2 linked regions of the Anolis sagrei genome follow. The protein of the gene in region 2 interacts with the protein of the main gene of each other region in a pairwise test. Links are inferred from orthologs where the notes say so. Each region holds a gene or a part of one and is shown on either strand. Other genes may lie near its edges.

The links. The genes of interacting proteins can lie anywhere in the genome.
Region 1: the proteins of ATN1 (region 2) and LENG8 interact in a two-hybrid assay, tested with the Homo sapiens proteins (2 studies listed by BioGRID and IntAct). The link is inferred for Anolis sagrei from reciprocal best matches to the Homo sapiens genes ATN1 and LENG8.

Annotation. Positions count from the first base shown.
Region 1 is NC_090026.1:20,492,369-20,499,200, reverse strand, and holds the start of LENG8 (leukocyte receptor cluster member 8), read left to right. Parts: upstream 1-3,819; 5' UTR 3,820-4,508; coding exon 4,509-4,546; intron 4,547-6,832.
Region 2 is NC_090022.1:198,147,425-198,155,347, forward strand, and holds the start of ATN1 (atrophin-1), read left to right. Parts: upstream 1-4,906; 5' UTR 4,907-4,929; intron 4,930-5,002; exon of another isoform or gene 5,003-5,208; intron 5,209-7,923. UniProt on the Homo sapiens protein: Transcriptional corepressor. Recruits NR2E1 to repress transcription. Promotes vascular smooth cell (VSMC) migration and orientation. Corepressor of MTG8 transcriptional repression.

The DNA of each region.
Region 1 (6,832 bases), on a different chromosome or scaffold from region 2:
TAGGGCTTCTGGGAGTTGGAGGCCCAAACAGCCGAAGGGCCACAGTTTGAGGATGCCTGGTGTACAGTAATTAATCATTTCATTGGTCTAAGCTGGATAATACAGATTCTTGTTGGCTCTCTTTCTTTCTAATAGCAAAAGGTGTCCAACAATTGCACTTTTAATTTCTCTGACCTTGAGCATAGCATCTGCCAGCTTGTCTTATCTACTTGCTCTGTTTCACTTTCAAGCACATGAGAAATTTAGGGAGTACTAGCTTATGGATTTATCCTTGAAGACAGAGAGTAATCACCTCCCTGTGGCAGCTTCTTCTAAGCAACTGAAGTTTTTGCAAATGAAAGCATCTAGCAAATCAGGACATACTGGATTTACAGTCATTAGAAAATCCCACTTAAAGCCATGTCTCTCTTAGTATAAACTAGAAGAGGCTGTAGCAGTTCGCTTTTGCCTGTCAACTCTGGAGACCAGGTTTCGAATCCCTGTTTGGCCATATAAGCCCACAATGAAGGGGCACTGATTTATGGGCACTCCAAATGCACAAGCTTAGGAGTTCCCGCAATGGCCCAATGTAGCCATGCAAGGAGGAAGCCGTAAGTTGGATTCTTACTACAAAGACTTTATTATATGGCCATAATATTGACAAACATGCTCACAGGAATGCAATCAAAGGATTTGTCGCAACTCCCAATGGGGCTTCAGAGCTTTTATCATTTTTGACAATAAATTGAATATACATTCTCATTGGTTTCCAAAGACAAATAATTTAATTGGTCTAAGCTAGCTCATTGGTTCTTTATTATTATGTCTGACGTAATAGCACACCTAACAATGGTGCAACTATAGCACAATTATAGCACAATTCTGACCATAACTGTCTTAATGAATCAATCTTATCTGTTAGTCTGTTTCAAACATAACTCCAGAGCAACTGGGAAACTCGGGAGTTTTAACTAGCTACTAGCTAGCCAGTTTTGTCCGGATATACTGTTATCCTTGAATAGTAACTTCCTCTCTGCAGCAACGTTTTCTCAAACAATCTGCATTTTCTGTAAACAAAGGCCGGCTGCAGAAAAAGTCCAATATGGCAGTAAATAAAGACATATGGGCATTGGGAACATCTCTGAAAATCCCCTTTTAAAACCACGTCTCCTTCAATTGGATGACCTTGGGCAAGTCACGGTCTCTCAGCCCCAGCGGGTGGCCAGGGAAATGCTTCCTCTGACCACGTCTCGCCAAGGAAACACCTTAAGGTTGCCATACATCAGAAATCACTTGAAGGCACTTTGCAAATTGTGGTTCAGTGTTTTGAGTGTTGGACTCTGAGAGGCAGGACCCAAACGCCTGCTCAGCCATAGAGAGGTATGTGGCAACCTTGGACGAGCCACACTCTGCCTCAGCCGAAGAAGGCAAGATCAGCAAACCTCCTCTTAATAAATCTTGCCAAATAAACCTTACAATAAGGTTGCCATAATTGGTCGATTTAAAGGTGTGAAAGAAAACCCACACTGTTTAGGTCCCTGGGATATTATTGATATAGATGTTTTATTAGTCAAGCTTTAGGCTGGACCAGGTTTTGATTGACACAACGGCTCAGCTTATCCCAGATTCTTTCCCCAATATTAAAAGGCCTAGCTCAGTCCTGGGCAAACTTGAGCACTCCGAGAGTTTTAGACTTCAACTCCCACAATTTCCAACAACCTCAAGCCCTTTCCTTTCCCCTCTGTTTTCTGTAGAGTTTGAGCAGGCCCAAAGGATGGCAAAGATGCTTAACGCCAGTTCACAACAGCAACTCCTCCTCCCATGATTACACCTGGAAGACCAATGATTGCAAGGCATTGTATTCACAAACTCCAATTCTCCATGTGTTTGGACTTCAACTCCCAGAAGCCTCAACTGCCTTGGCCAATGAGCAGGCATTCTGGGTTATTTATTTTGTCTCAAAAGCATTGCATAAATTAGTATAAAACTGATAAAAATAGAAGGTTTGCAGGCGGCTAAATATGTTTCTTGACCAAAAACAGGCAACAGCAATGGCATTGTCTGTAGCCTCCAACCATTCCTCCTCTGTACATGAGGCAGGGCACAATGGACAAGCATACAGATGCAGAGTTGTCTGTTCTGCTCCACAGTAACACATAGTATGGGATTCTTTTAGGTAGTGCCATTTTGCCAGGTTGTCTTTTGATCTGGGTTGTTGTAGGGTTTTCGGGCTATATGGCCATGGTCTAGAGGCATCTATGGCAAGCATCCTCAGAGGTAATGAGGTCTGTTGGAACTAGGCAAAAGGATTTATATATCTGTGGAATGACCAGGGTGAGACAAAGGACTCTTCTCTGCTGGAGCTAGGTGTGAATGTTTCAACTGACCACCTTGATTAGCATACAATGGCCTGACTGTGCCTGGGGCCAACTTTTGTTGAGAGGTAATTAGATGTCCCTGCCTGCTTCCTCTCTGTTGTTGTGCTGTTGCAATTTTAGAGTTTTTTTTAATACTGGTAGCCAGATTTTGTTCATTTTCATGGTTTCCTCCTTTCTGTTGAAATTGTCCACATGCTTGTGGATTTCAGTGGCTCCTCTGTGTAGTCTGACATGGTGGTTGTGAGAGTGGTCCAGCATTTCTGTGTTCTCAAATAAAATGCTGTGTCCAGGTTGGTTCATCAGGTGCTCTGCTATGGCTAATTTCTCTGGTTGAAGTAGTCTGCAGTGCTTTTCATGTTCCTTGATTCATGTTTGGGCAATGCTGCGTTTGGTGGTCACTATGTAGACTTGTCCACAGCTGCATGGTATACGGTAGACTCCTGCAGAGGTGAGAGGATCCCTCTTGTCCTTTGCTGAACGTAGCATTCGTTGGATTTTCTTGGTGGGTCTGTAGATAGTTTGTATGTTGTGTTTCCTCATCAGCTTCCCTATGCGGTCAGTGTTTCCCTTGATGTATGGCAAGAACATTTTTCCTCTGGGTGGATCTTCATCTTTACTCTCATGGCTTGTTCTTGGTCTTGCAGCTTTTCTGATGTCTGAGGTGGAGTATCCATTGGCCTGGAGAGCACAGTTGAGGTGGTTCAGTTCATCTTGGAGGAGGTGGGGTTCGCAGATTCTTTTTGCATGGTCTGCCAAGGCTTTAATGGTGCTTCTTTTTTGACTTGGGTGATGGTTGGAGTTTTTATGTAGGTATCTATCTCTGTGTGTGGGTTTTCTGTCTTTTGATCTGCCCACTCCACTTCTGAGTCTATTCAGGGACTTCCAGGTTGCCCATTCTTGGTTTGCCCCTGGAGGAAGACCCTTGTGGGGGGCCATCCAGTTGGGGTTTTCTGGTTGAGCTGCCCAGAGGGATACTCTTGCTGTTGCTGGAGGGACGCCATTCTGGGTGCTGAGGTCCAAACCCCTAAAAGATCCAAGCTTGGGCAAATTTGGCCCTCTAAGTGTTTTGGACTTCAACTCCCACCATTCCCAACAGCCTCAGGCCCCTTCCTTTTCCCCCTCAGCCGCTTAAGCGGCTGAGGGGGAAAAGGAAGGGGCCTGAGGCTGTTGGGAATGGTGGGAGCGGCTGAGGGGGAAAAGAAAGGGGCCTGAGGCTGTTGGGAATGGTGGGAGTTGAAGTCCAAAACACTTGGAAGGCTCAAGTTTGGCCAGGACTGGGCTAGGCCTTTGAATATAGGGGGAAATCTGGGATTGGCTGAGCCTTTGTGTCAATCAAAACCTGGCCCCGCCTAAATCTTGATTGATACAACGCCTCAACCTATCCCGCCGACGTGGCGTCAGCCTCTGTGACGTCACCACCCTTCGCCTACGCGCATGCGCCTTTCCCTTTCCTGCCTCCACCGGAAGGAAGTCAGCTGCTGACTGTGGAACCAGACAGTCGAACGAGGTGGGAGGAGAGTCAGCCGCCGCCATTTTGCGACGGGAGAGGTTCTTCCTTTCCTTTCGTTTGGACTCTGAAAAGCCTTTGAAGCAACGCGGCAAGGCGCTGAAGTCGAGGGAGCGGCGGGCTTGGTCTTATTAGGCCGGAGGATCACAACAGGCTGAGGGAAGGGAGGGTGGGCGAGGGGAGCGAGTAGGCCCGGGTGTAAGTAGGCCGCGGAGGGTTTGAGGGGGTCGGGAGGCGGGCTGTTGCTGAGTTGATCACACCCTTGAGGCCTTCCAGGCCGCCGTAGGCTCAGGAGAAGGGGGTTTCATTAAAGGGAACTCGGAAGGGAGCAGAGATCTCGGAAAGGGTGGGTCGGGAAGGATCGGAAGAGGTAGGCCTCGGCGCCGCGGCCCTAGTCACTCTTCGGAGGGGAAGGAGTCGGTTCTGCTGTGTTTCTTGGCTCTTGTCACGAAAGGAAGAGCGGTTTCTTTCCCCCTCGAGGCGGCATTGCAGGGAGATGGGCCTCTGCCTCGGTTAACCTCCTTTGTTTGGCCTCTCTGCCTCCTGTGGAAGGAGACCGAAGGGAAGCGGTGCTTGGAGCCCTCCCAGCCCTTGGGTATCGCAGCCTATCGACGCCGAAAACCCCCTCATCCAACGAACAGAGGATGGCTGCCAATATCGGCGATCAACTTCCCCCAGAATGGTGATTGTGATAGTTTGCTTTAATTTGGTATAAGGAGGGTTGTGGTCGAGTTATGAAGGGACTGATTTGTTTATTTATTTATTTAGTACATTTCTATACCACCCCTCTCAGCCTTCATGCGACTCGAGGAGGTTTACAAGGCAAGAATTCAATGCCACCAAGGACACAGTTACAATATATAACAGGCATCCTCAAACTATGGCCCTCCAGCTGTTTGGGCCTCCAACTCCCAGAATTCCTGACCACTGAACAAGCTGGCTAAGGCTTCTGGGAGTTGGAGGCCCAAACAGCTGGAGGGCCACAGTTTGAAGATGCCTGATATACAATATAAAAAACATCAGCAACAATAAATTCAAACATTATAATGAAACATTTCAATCGATAATCATTAAAACAATGTCCAGTTCCACCATATGGTTATTGGTGCAGTGGGTTAAACCCAGGACTGAAGCCCGACAGGTCACAGGTTCGAATCCAGGGAGATGCAGATGAGCTCCCTCTATCAGCTCCAGCTCATGCGGGGACATGAGAGAAGCCTCCCACAAGGATGATAAAACATCAAATCATCTGGGTGTCCCCTGGGCAACGTCCTTGCAGACGGCCAATTCTCACACCAGAAGCAACTTGCAGTTTCTCAGGTCGCTCTTGACACAACATACAAACACACACACACACACATATATATATATATTGTGTGTGTGTGTGTATATATATAGTTATCCCATTATTATATCCCTTACTCCGTATTTTCAAATGCCCGCTCAAATAGCCATGTCTTAAGATTCTTCCGGAATGATAGGAGCGAGGAAGCCAATCTAATCTCCCTCGGAAGGGCGTTCCATAGCCGAGGGGCCACCACTGAGTAGGCCCTGGTTACTACTATCGTCTTTATTTCTACCCTGTCTTAGGGCCCTTCCACACAGCCATATAACCCAGAATATCAAGGCAGAAAATCCTACAATATGTGCTTTGAACTGGGTTATCAGAGGGCCCTTCCACACAGCTGAATAAAATCCCACATCTGCTTTGAACTGGAATATATGGCAGTGTGGACTCAGATAACCCAGTTTAGAGCAGCTATTTTGTGGGACATGGGGCTGTGTAGAAGGGTCCTGGGTGTGACTCAGATAACCCAGTTCGAAGCAGATATTGTGGGATTTTCTGCCTTGATGTTCTGGAATATATGGCTGTGTGGAAGGACCCTTAGATAATCCAGGCCCCTTCCACACAGTTGAATAAAATCGTACATTATCTGCTTTGAACTGAGTTATATGGCAGATATTGTGGGATTTTCTGCCTTGATATTCTGTGTTATATGGCTCTTGGAAGGGCCCTGAGTCCACATTGCTATATATTCCAGTTCAAAGCAGAAAATGTGGGATTTTATTCAGCTGTGTGGAAGGGGCCTTGGAAACTCAAGACAGATACAAAAGTTGGAAAACAATTAAATGTTTTTGGGTGGATTCAAATAATACCATTTAAATTACAATCAAAGTCCAACATTCTTTCCCACCCACTCCTCCATCCCATTCCACCTACGCTGTAGGATTATTGCACTCCACTTGAACTGCTATGGCTCAGTGCTGTGGAGTCTGGGGTTTGTAATTTGGTGGAGGCATCTGCATTCTTTGACAGAGAAGGTTACATGCCTTATAAAAACATAACTCCCAGGATTCCATAGCATTGAGCCACGGCAGTTAAAGGTGGGTCTAGTTGCATTATGTCTATTCTATAAATGCACCCTTAAATCATAAAATAATAAACTTTATTTATATCCTGCCACCATCTCCCAAAAGTGACTCAGGGCGGCTTACAAAGCACTCCAGGTGCAATATCTAACATCAATGGTACATGAATATAAAACAATATCACATACAAATTATAAAAACAACCACATATCTCTCTCAACAGATGTCCCCCATTTTGTGGGGCAGAGTAAATAGTCTCAGCTGCTTCTGAAAGGGAGCTACTGACAGCAGCCCAGTAACTTCTGTTTTTTACCTGCTACAACTGGCAATCTTCAAACTGGAAATGAGTGTTCAGCACAGTGGGGCTGGAGGCTGTCCGAAATTGGTATATTTGATGAGGGGGCTTTCTACCACAATTGGGGGGGGGGGGGTTAGAGCTGCTCAATTCTGAAATGAATTTTACATTCAAAATTGTTTTCATAGTGCCATAGCTGTTCTGCCTCTTTGAGGTTAAGTTAACACAAGCTTCATGTTTGACTGGTTTAAGCAGGAGTAGAAAATTCCTAGATCGTTATCAAAAAACTGAATTTAGGGCTTA
Region 2 (7,923 bases):
CTCTCCCCTTTGTTTTGTTTCTGTGAGAGAGGTTAGAGCCCTCAACTCAATGTCTGCGTTCCAGTGACAGGTTTCAGGGATGCCTATGACATCGTAAATACGAAAAGACAAAGTGGCCAGTCCAGTAAAGTTGATGGCAGAGGATCATCACTTCCATGCTGGTAGTCTTTGCTTCTTCTAGAACAGCGACATTTGTTTTGCCTGTTTTACCCAGAGATTTGCAGGATTTTAGCAGTGTTTTGTTGGCCAGGCCACACAATTATTGAACTGTAAGTCCTGGCAACAAAGTAGCTATGGGAAATGTGGAGAGCCCCTCAATTTTTTTTTGTTTTCACATCAGGAGCAACTTGAGAAACTGCAAGTCGCCTCTGTTGTGAGATAATTGGCCATCTGCAAGAACATTGCCCAGGGGACACCTGGATGTTTTGATGTTTTACCATCCTTGTGGGAGGCTTCTCTCATGTCCCCACATGGAGAGCTGGAGCTGACAGAGGAAGCTCATCCACGAACCTCCAACCTGTTGGTCTTTAGTCCTGCTGTCACAGGGGTTTAACCCATTGTGCCACTGGGGGCTCCTAAGAATAAGGTAAGAGTATGACAAAAAGCCTGTAGTAATGCTAAAATAAAACACTAGAGAAACAAGGAACAGGGAAAATAAAGCCAGAGGTGACCTTCATAGGGAAAAATCCAAGCCTCAACTAAAAATATTTGCAAAACCTGGTCTAGGACAGAGCTTCTTAAAGTTCTTCTGCTCATGATCCCTTTCTATCAGAGAAATTTGTACATGATCACAGGTATATAAGTATACAAAATAGTTATACTAATCGAACATTTACTGATAATAAATCAGCTTTTGCAAGGCTTGCTAAAGAGGCTGATTTACCTTTTTATGAAGAAAAGCCGAAGTATTTCCTTCAGAGTCCATTGTGAACACTGCACTGTTGTTGCTAACAGATTCATGTCAATGTCTAAACCATCCACTGGGTGGTGCTCAAAACCCTTTTTCTGTTGCCAAATTTTTGCAACCTCTTATGGAACCCTATTTGGAGTCAGGACCCATAGCTTAAGAAGCAGTGGTCTAGACAACGAAGAGCATAAAGACTACCATTTAGGAGAGCTGTGAGGAAACCTAAAAGGGCAATGCAACTGCTATACACTATTCCTTCACTTTCTATATTTTCATATAGTTCGCCACCAGGTACATCTACCAACACATAAGCTTCATTGAAGTCAGAACTACCCTGTGTACTCATGTATACAAGTACTGAGTACATAGGTAGTTCTGACTTCAATGAACATCTTAAACACCTACCCACCAACTCTGCTACAGGACACAAGATACATTTGCATGCAAACTTACTAAGTCCTATATGTATATAGGACTTAGTAAGTTTGCATACAAATGTGTGTGTGTGTGTATATATATATATATATACACACACACACACACACATTTGTATGCAAACTTACTATATATATATGCCATTTTCCAAAAATATTTTTAAACCTATATCTATATCTATCTATCTATCTATCTATCTATCTATCTATCGGGTTAAAAAAAAATATTTTTGGAAAATGGCATTCACCACCATTTTGGGAAAATCAGGAATCTCCCTGAGAATAGTTAAAAACTCGCTTGAGTCCTTAGTGATAAATATCAATCAGCATTCATGCAAAGCAATTAGGTTTCTCAGCTGTTAAACCAATATACCTAGACATCTCTTTGAACTGTTTGGGACAAAGATATTCCAATGCACATACAAACACACACACAGGCTGGATAGCCATCTGTCAGGGGTGCTTTGAATGCAATTTTCCTGCTTCTTGGCAGAAGGCTGGACTGGATGGCCCACGAGGTCTCTTGCAACTCTATGATTCTATGATATATAGCAGAGTTTTAGAAGTGTTCTTTCAGTTGCCCAAAAACATCTACTCTCCCTTAAAACATCTTGGTTTTAAATCATGCTCTCAAAAGACAAAATAAACAGACTTCTTTAAAAGTAACATAGTTGGTTTACTCACAGATTTCATGTATTCAGCATACAGTTATTTTGCTCATCAATCCAGTTACAAATAGAGTTTGAAGTAGTTTGTGCAGACAACACAGGGCATCTTTCTTATAATCACAGTCCATAGTCTAAAGCACCTCTCTGGTCTGAGAGTCTAAAAGGCTGTCTTTTTCTAAAGTCTTCTAAGGTATACTTTTTCTACATTGAAAGTCTAATGGCTTCTGCTTCTAATGGCATCTGAAATCATACAGTTTCTAAAATGGAGTCTGAGTCCTGAACAATCCCACATCTGATCACATGGTTTGCCGCCCCTCCCACAACATAGAGTTAAGGAAAAAACTGCATACCAATACACACATATACAATACACTAAGCAATCTGAATTATATACATAACAAATAACTAGTGGAGGCTTGAAGAAAGTTGCAATTTCCAACAGATTTTGCTCCTGTTCTTTTTAATTTTGCACTTTGTTAAAATAAACCAACCTGGGGAGCAGGTATAAAAAGTATCTAACTGTATCAGAAGCTGACAAAAATATTGTGGGATAAACAAAACATGCACCTTTTATGGTTAGTTAGGGAGGAGTGGTGAACTTCCCTTGTATTGCTACAATAGCGCCAACACAAGTTGGCTGGTTGTGGGATACTTATATACAGACATAAATAAGTACATAAGCACGAGCATTGCCACTCATCTAGCAAAAGCCAATGCAGTGACACTACAAGGGGCCACTTCAATTAGCAATAGCTTTGTGCTACAGGCAGACAAACAGATACGCATGCATACTTTGACCGACAGATAGATAGATAGATAGATAGATAGATAGATAGAGTGATAGAGTGATAGAGTGATAGAGTGATTGACTGAGGCTGCCTAGTGGTAAGGCCATCCTCTTCCCTTTCATGGGGGTCCTGTGCCCAGAGAACATGGAGACCTGACATTATGTGCACCAATAAGACACCAAAAGTTTTACAAACCATAGGCAAGAGACAAGCATTTTCTTCCATCTTTAGCAAACAATACTTACAAGAGGTTGTTTTATAAGAGGGCTATGGTAATAATTGATGACTGCCAATGGTGTGGCTATACATTGCCTCCAAGAGGAGAGGCAGCACTGCCTATAGCTAGAAAGACCAGTCACTGAATATGTTCATGCAGCAAAGGGTTTGGCATAATCTTCAGCAATGTGCAATGAAAACACTCAAGCAAATTTCCATTTTTGGGAGATCAAGGGCTCCAGGACATTAGAAGTACAGATGTGCATCCCTATAGTGACCCACGGCATGTTTATCTCTTTCTTTCTTTATTTGCTGCATTTCTATCCCGCCTTTCTCAGCCCGAAGGCGACTCAAGGCAGCTTACACTGGCACGATTCGATGCCACAGTGAACATTAAAAAATTAAAACAAAATTTAAAACAATTAACACAGAGACTTCACAACCTCTGAAGATGCTTGCCATAGATGCAGATGCTTGCCATAGATGCATCAGGAGAGAATGCTTCTAGAACATGGCCATATAGCCCAAAAAAACTACAACAACCCAATTAACACACATTATAAAAACCCTGTAAAAAGCATTAAAAGCATAAAACACCAGTAACTTCCTATTAGCTCATTTTCCAAAAACATTGTCAAGCCATACCATGTTCATTCTTTCCTGGGTTCCATATTCATCCATTACATTGCGTTTTCAAAGGCTTGTTCAAAAAGCCAGGTTTTAAATTTTTTTCAGAATGTCAGTAGAGAGGGGGCTGATCTAAGGGAGTTCCATAGCCGAGGAGCCACCATTGAGAAGACCCTGCCTCTCGTCCCCACTGGGCACGCCTGCAATGAAGGCACGATCAAGAGCAGAGCCTCCCCAGAAGATCTTAAATTCCTAGCTGGTTCATTGAATCAACCTAGCTAGTTGATTGATTTTTCCAAGACTTTCGCTTTACTCGAAGGCTTTCACGGCCAGAATCACTGCAGTGTGGTGTGGTTTTGTCATATGTTCCATAGTTGATGGTGGTTGGTGGTGGTAGACCTGGCAGTTGGTGATGGAAGGATTAATGTAAGTCTTGGTTCTAAAGGGTTGAGTAGTTTATAAGTAACAGTTTACAGGTAAAAGAAATTACGAGTGGAGGTGTGCAGGAGATGGGTTGCAGCTGGGTATTACTGGATTTAAGGAGCTAACTTTGAGACTTATCTTTGGGAGAAAAGTATCTGTTGCATTTTGGTGGTGGATGTTGCTGGCATTTGACCATTGGACTGGACCCTTTTGACTACGAAGTTATTTTTGCTATCAGTTTTTGTTTATTCTGTAGCTGCGTGCTATCTTTGTGTTTTATATTTTGGTCTATTGAAACAGCCAGCAAGTAAGTGCTGTTTTAATTAAACTGTTTGATAAAACTGATAGTTTGATTAATCTCTACCTAAATAAGGTAGAGCCCTGGCAACGTGACAGGTTTAGGGCCCTGTTCTAGCAACATGTTCTCATGACATTTCAACCATATCTGTGGCTTCAGATCTTCTGAAGATGCCAGCCACAAGAGAAAATGCTACTAGAACACAGCCATACAGCCCAGAAACCGCACAACACCACTTTCATTTTTGTTTCCAAGAATCATTGTGAAGCCCAGAGTGGCACAGCCCACAGTGTGGCATCTTCGTTGCTTATTTATGTATAAGATCCTGTGTTTTCATACATATTCTGCATCCTGGGCTGCTACCGCACATGGCCCCATATGGAGTCTGACGGTGGCTCCTGACATCCTTGACATCAGTCCAGTGGGAAAGTCGGTTTGGCTCTCTGGTTTCTGTGAAGACAATAGCAAGGAGCTTTCTGGGAGCTGTAGTTCAGAGACCTTTGTATAAAAACTCCATTTTATTTCCTTTTCTCAGACTCCTCTCTCCAAAATGCAATCCCTTGAACAGGTAAGGGGTTGAGAGGGGAGCAGGTTTGCAGCCGCCCTTTCTGGTGTGCCTTCCACTAGAGGGCAGAGGCACCTAAGGACAGGGCCTTGCGCATGGCACCAGAAAAAGGTGAAAGAGTTAACAATACATGGCTCGCTTTGGAATTTGCAAACCTGAGGGGGAAGTGGGGATGCTGCCCTACATGGAAGGCCGCCTGTTTGGGGCCTGCGGGGCAAACCTGAAGAGTGCCAGCAGAGAGGCTGATAGTCATCAGCTTGGAAGAGACTGAGCTATACTGAGGTACAGAGCAAAGAAATGCCTTCCCATTGCTGTAGTCGCATACTTAATACCTGCCTAGAACAACATTTGGTGCAGTTTTGAGCACAATTGTTTTTCCAGCTTCCAAGATAATAGGGAGTGCAAAGCATAGAAGCCTAGGGAAAGACAACCGTTTTTAAGAGAATTCAAAATGGTTTCAAATATATTTATTTTCCCACGATGGAAATGTATGCAAATATTGCTTTTGTCCCACTTTCCACTCTGGTCAAACAGGTTTTGCAGGTTTTAAAGAAACAAAAACCTGCAAAACGTGTTTGATCGGAAAATATGATCAAAAGAGGGAGCATTGCTTTTTCAAACTGTCTGCAATTCCCTTACAATATTATGTATTAACTTGGGTACCAGGCGCTGGTTGGGTTATTTGAAAATGTCAAATTTTTAGTTGTACAAATTGCATAAGGTTGTGGGTGAACTACAACTCACATTATGCCAGGTTAATCCCGAAAAATTCAATCAGTACTTAAAAAATTGTTATGTTGGTCAAGTTTGCTCTAGATAAGTGTTTCTCAACCTGGGGGTTGGGACCCCGGGGGGGGGGGGGGTCACCAGGAAGGTTTCAGTGGGGTCACCAAACACCATCAGAAAACACATATTTCAGATGGTTTTAGGAACCCCTTTGGCAGAGAAGGCTGAAGATCTCTCTGCTTGTCCTTCTCTTCCATTTTGGAAACAGACGGCAAATCCTCCTACTAAAAGCCCTCCTCCAGCTCTCTGGATGTAGCTGAACTACAACTCCAAAACTCAAGGTCATTGCCCATCAAATGCTTCCAGTATTTTATGTTGGTCAGGGGAATTCTGTGTGCCAAATCTGGTTCAATTCCATCATTGTTGGAGTTCACAATTCTCTGATTGTAGGTGAACTATAAATCCCAGAAACTACAACTCTTAAATGACAAAATCAACCAATCAGTATTCAAATTTGGGCATATCGGGTATTTGTACCAAATTTGGTCCAGTAAATGAAAATACATCCTGCATATCAGATATTTACATCATGATTACGATTCATAACAGTAGCAAAATTGCATAAAGTAGCAATGAAAATAATTTTATGGTTCAGGGTCACCACAACATTAGGAGCTGTATTAAGGGGTTACAGCATTAGGAAGGTTGAGAAACACTGCTCTAGGTGCATCATCGATGGGGTTCAGTGTGCTCGCTGGCTGTAGGGTAAACTACAATTCACTATGGTGAGTCAGTCCCCTCAAGTCCCTTCAGTCTGTTGAGTTGGTCATGGGGTTTCTGTGTGCCAAGTTTGGTCTAGGTCACAGTTTTGCTAGTTGCATGTGAACTACAACTCCCAGAAAGGAAGGTTGGTTCCCCCACCCCCAGTAATCAAATTTCAGCTTATCAGGTATAAGTTTGGTCCAGATCCATCGGTGTTTGGGTTCACAGTGCTCTCTGGATATAGGTGAACTACAACTTCCTCAAATCAAGAAGGATTTCCCCCAAAGATCTCCATGGGGGCCTCTATGTACCATGTTTGTTCAATTTCCATCTTTGGTGGAGTTCGGTGCTCATTGATTGCAAGTGAACTATAAATCCCAGTACCTACAACTCCAAAGTGTCCAGGCCAATTCCCCTCAAAACCCACAAGTATTCAAATTTGGGCATATTGGGTAGGCATGCCGAGTTTGGTCCAGGTCAATTATTGTTTGGGTTCATAGTGTGCTCTGGATGTAGGTGAACTGCAACTTCTATACATCTCCTCAAAGATCTCCAGTCACTTTTTGTTGGTCATGGGGCTTCTGTCTGCCAATTTAGAGCTTTAAGATCTGCTGGGGAGGCCCTGCTCTCGGTCCCACCCCATTCGCAAGTGAGACTGGTGGGAACAAGAGACAGAGTCTATTCAGTGATGGCCCCTTGGCTGTGGAACTCCCTCCCCAGTGACATCAGGCAGGCCCCATCCCTCCTGTTCTTTAGAAAAAAGCTAAAGACCTGGCTTTGTATGCAGGCGTTTGGAGAATAAAATATTAAGGAATTCAACCTCAACAGCCTGAATAATGACTATGGATTTTGGATAATGACTATGAATAAGCATGAAATCAAGACTCTGCATTTTATATGTTTATATGTTTTTAATTTGTTTTATTGCTCTATGTGTTTCAATTGCTCAGATGTTTTTAATGTTTTAACTGTTTTAGAGTTTGATAGGGTGTGTGTTTATTGTTATGTTCTGTTGGAGCTCAGCCTGTGATTGAGTTTCAGGATCAGGGCGCTTTGGATGTGGGGAGTGATGTCAATGAGTTTCAAGATAGCAATGGTTTGGTCTATGATATTGACGCAGAGAATGACCAGGAGATCCCTGTTCAAAGTGTAGTTTCCCATGAGAATATCCCTATAGGGTGTGGGGATGATGGTGTGCTCCCTGAACTACTACCAGAGAGTTCCCATGATTTGGAACTTGAAAGCAGCTTGGCACCTGTTAAGTCGCCTAAGGACTGAGAAGGGCGGTATACAAATATAGTAAACAAATAAATAAGCAAATAGATAGTTGGGAGGAGATTAGTTAAAACAGAAAAGCTGAACAGTGGCTTCAGTGTTCTGCCAGGTTCCGAGAAAAAAAGATAAGAAACTCTCAGCTAAAGTGAAACCAGTTTCTGAGCGCTAGAGACATAGCTAACGAGGAGATAAAAGTCCCAAGTACAGGATATGTAGTCAGATGAAGCATCATTT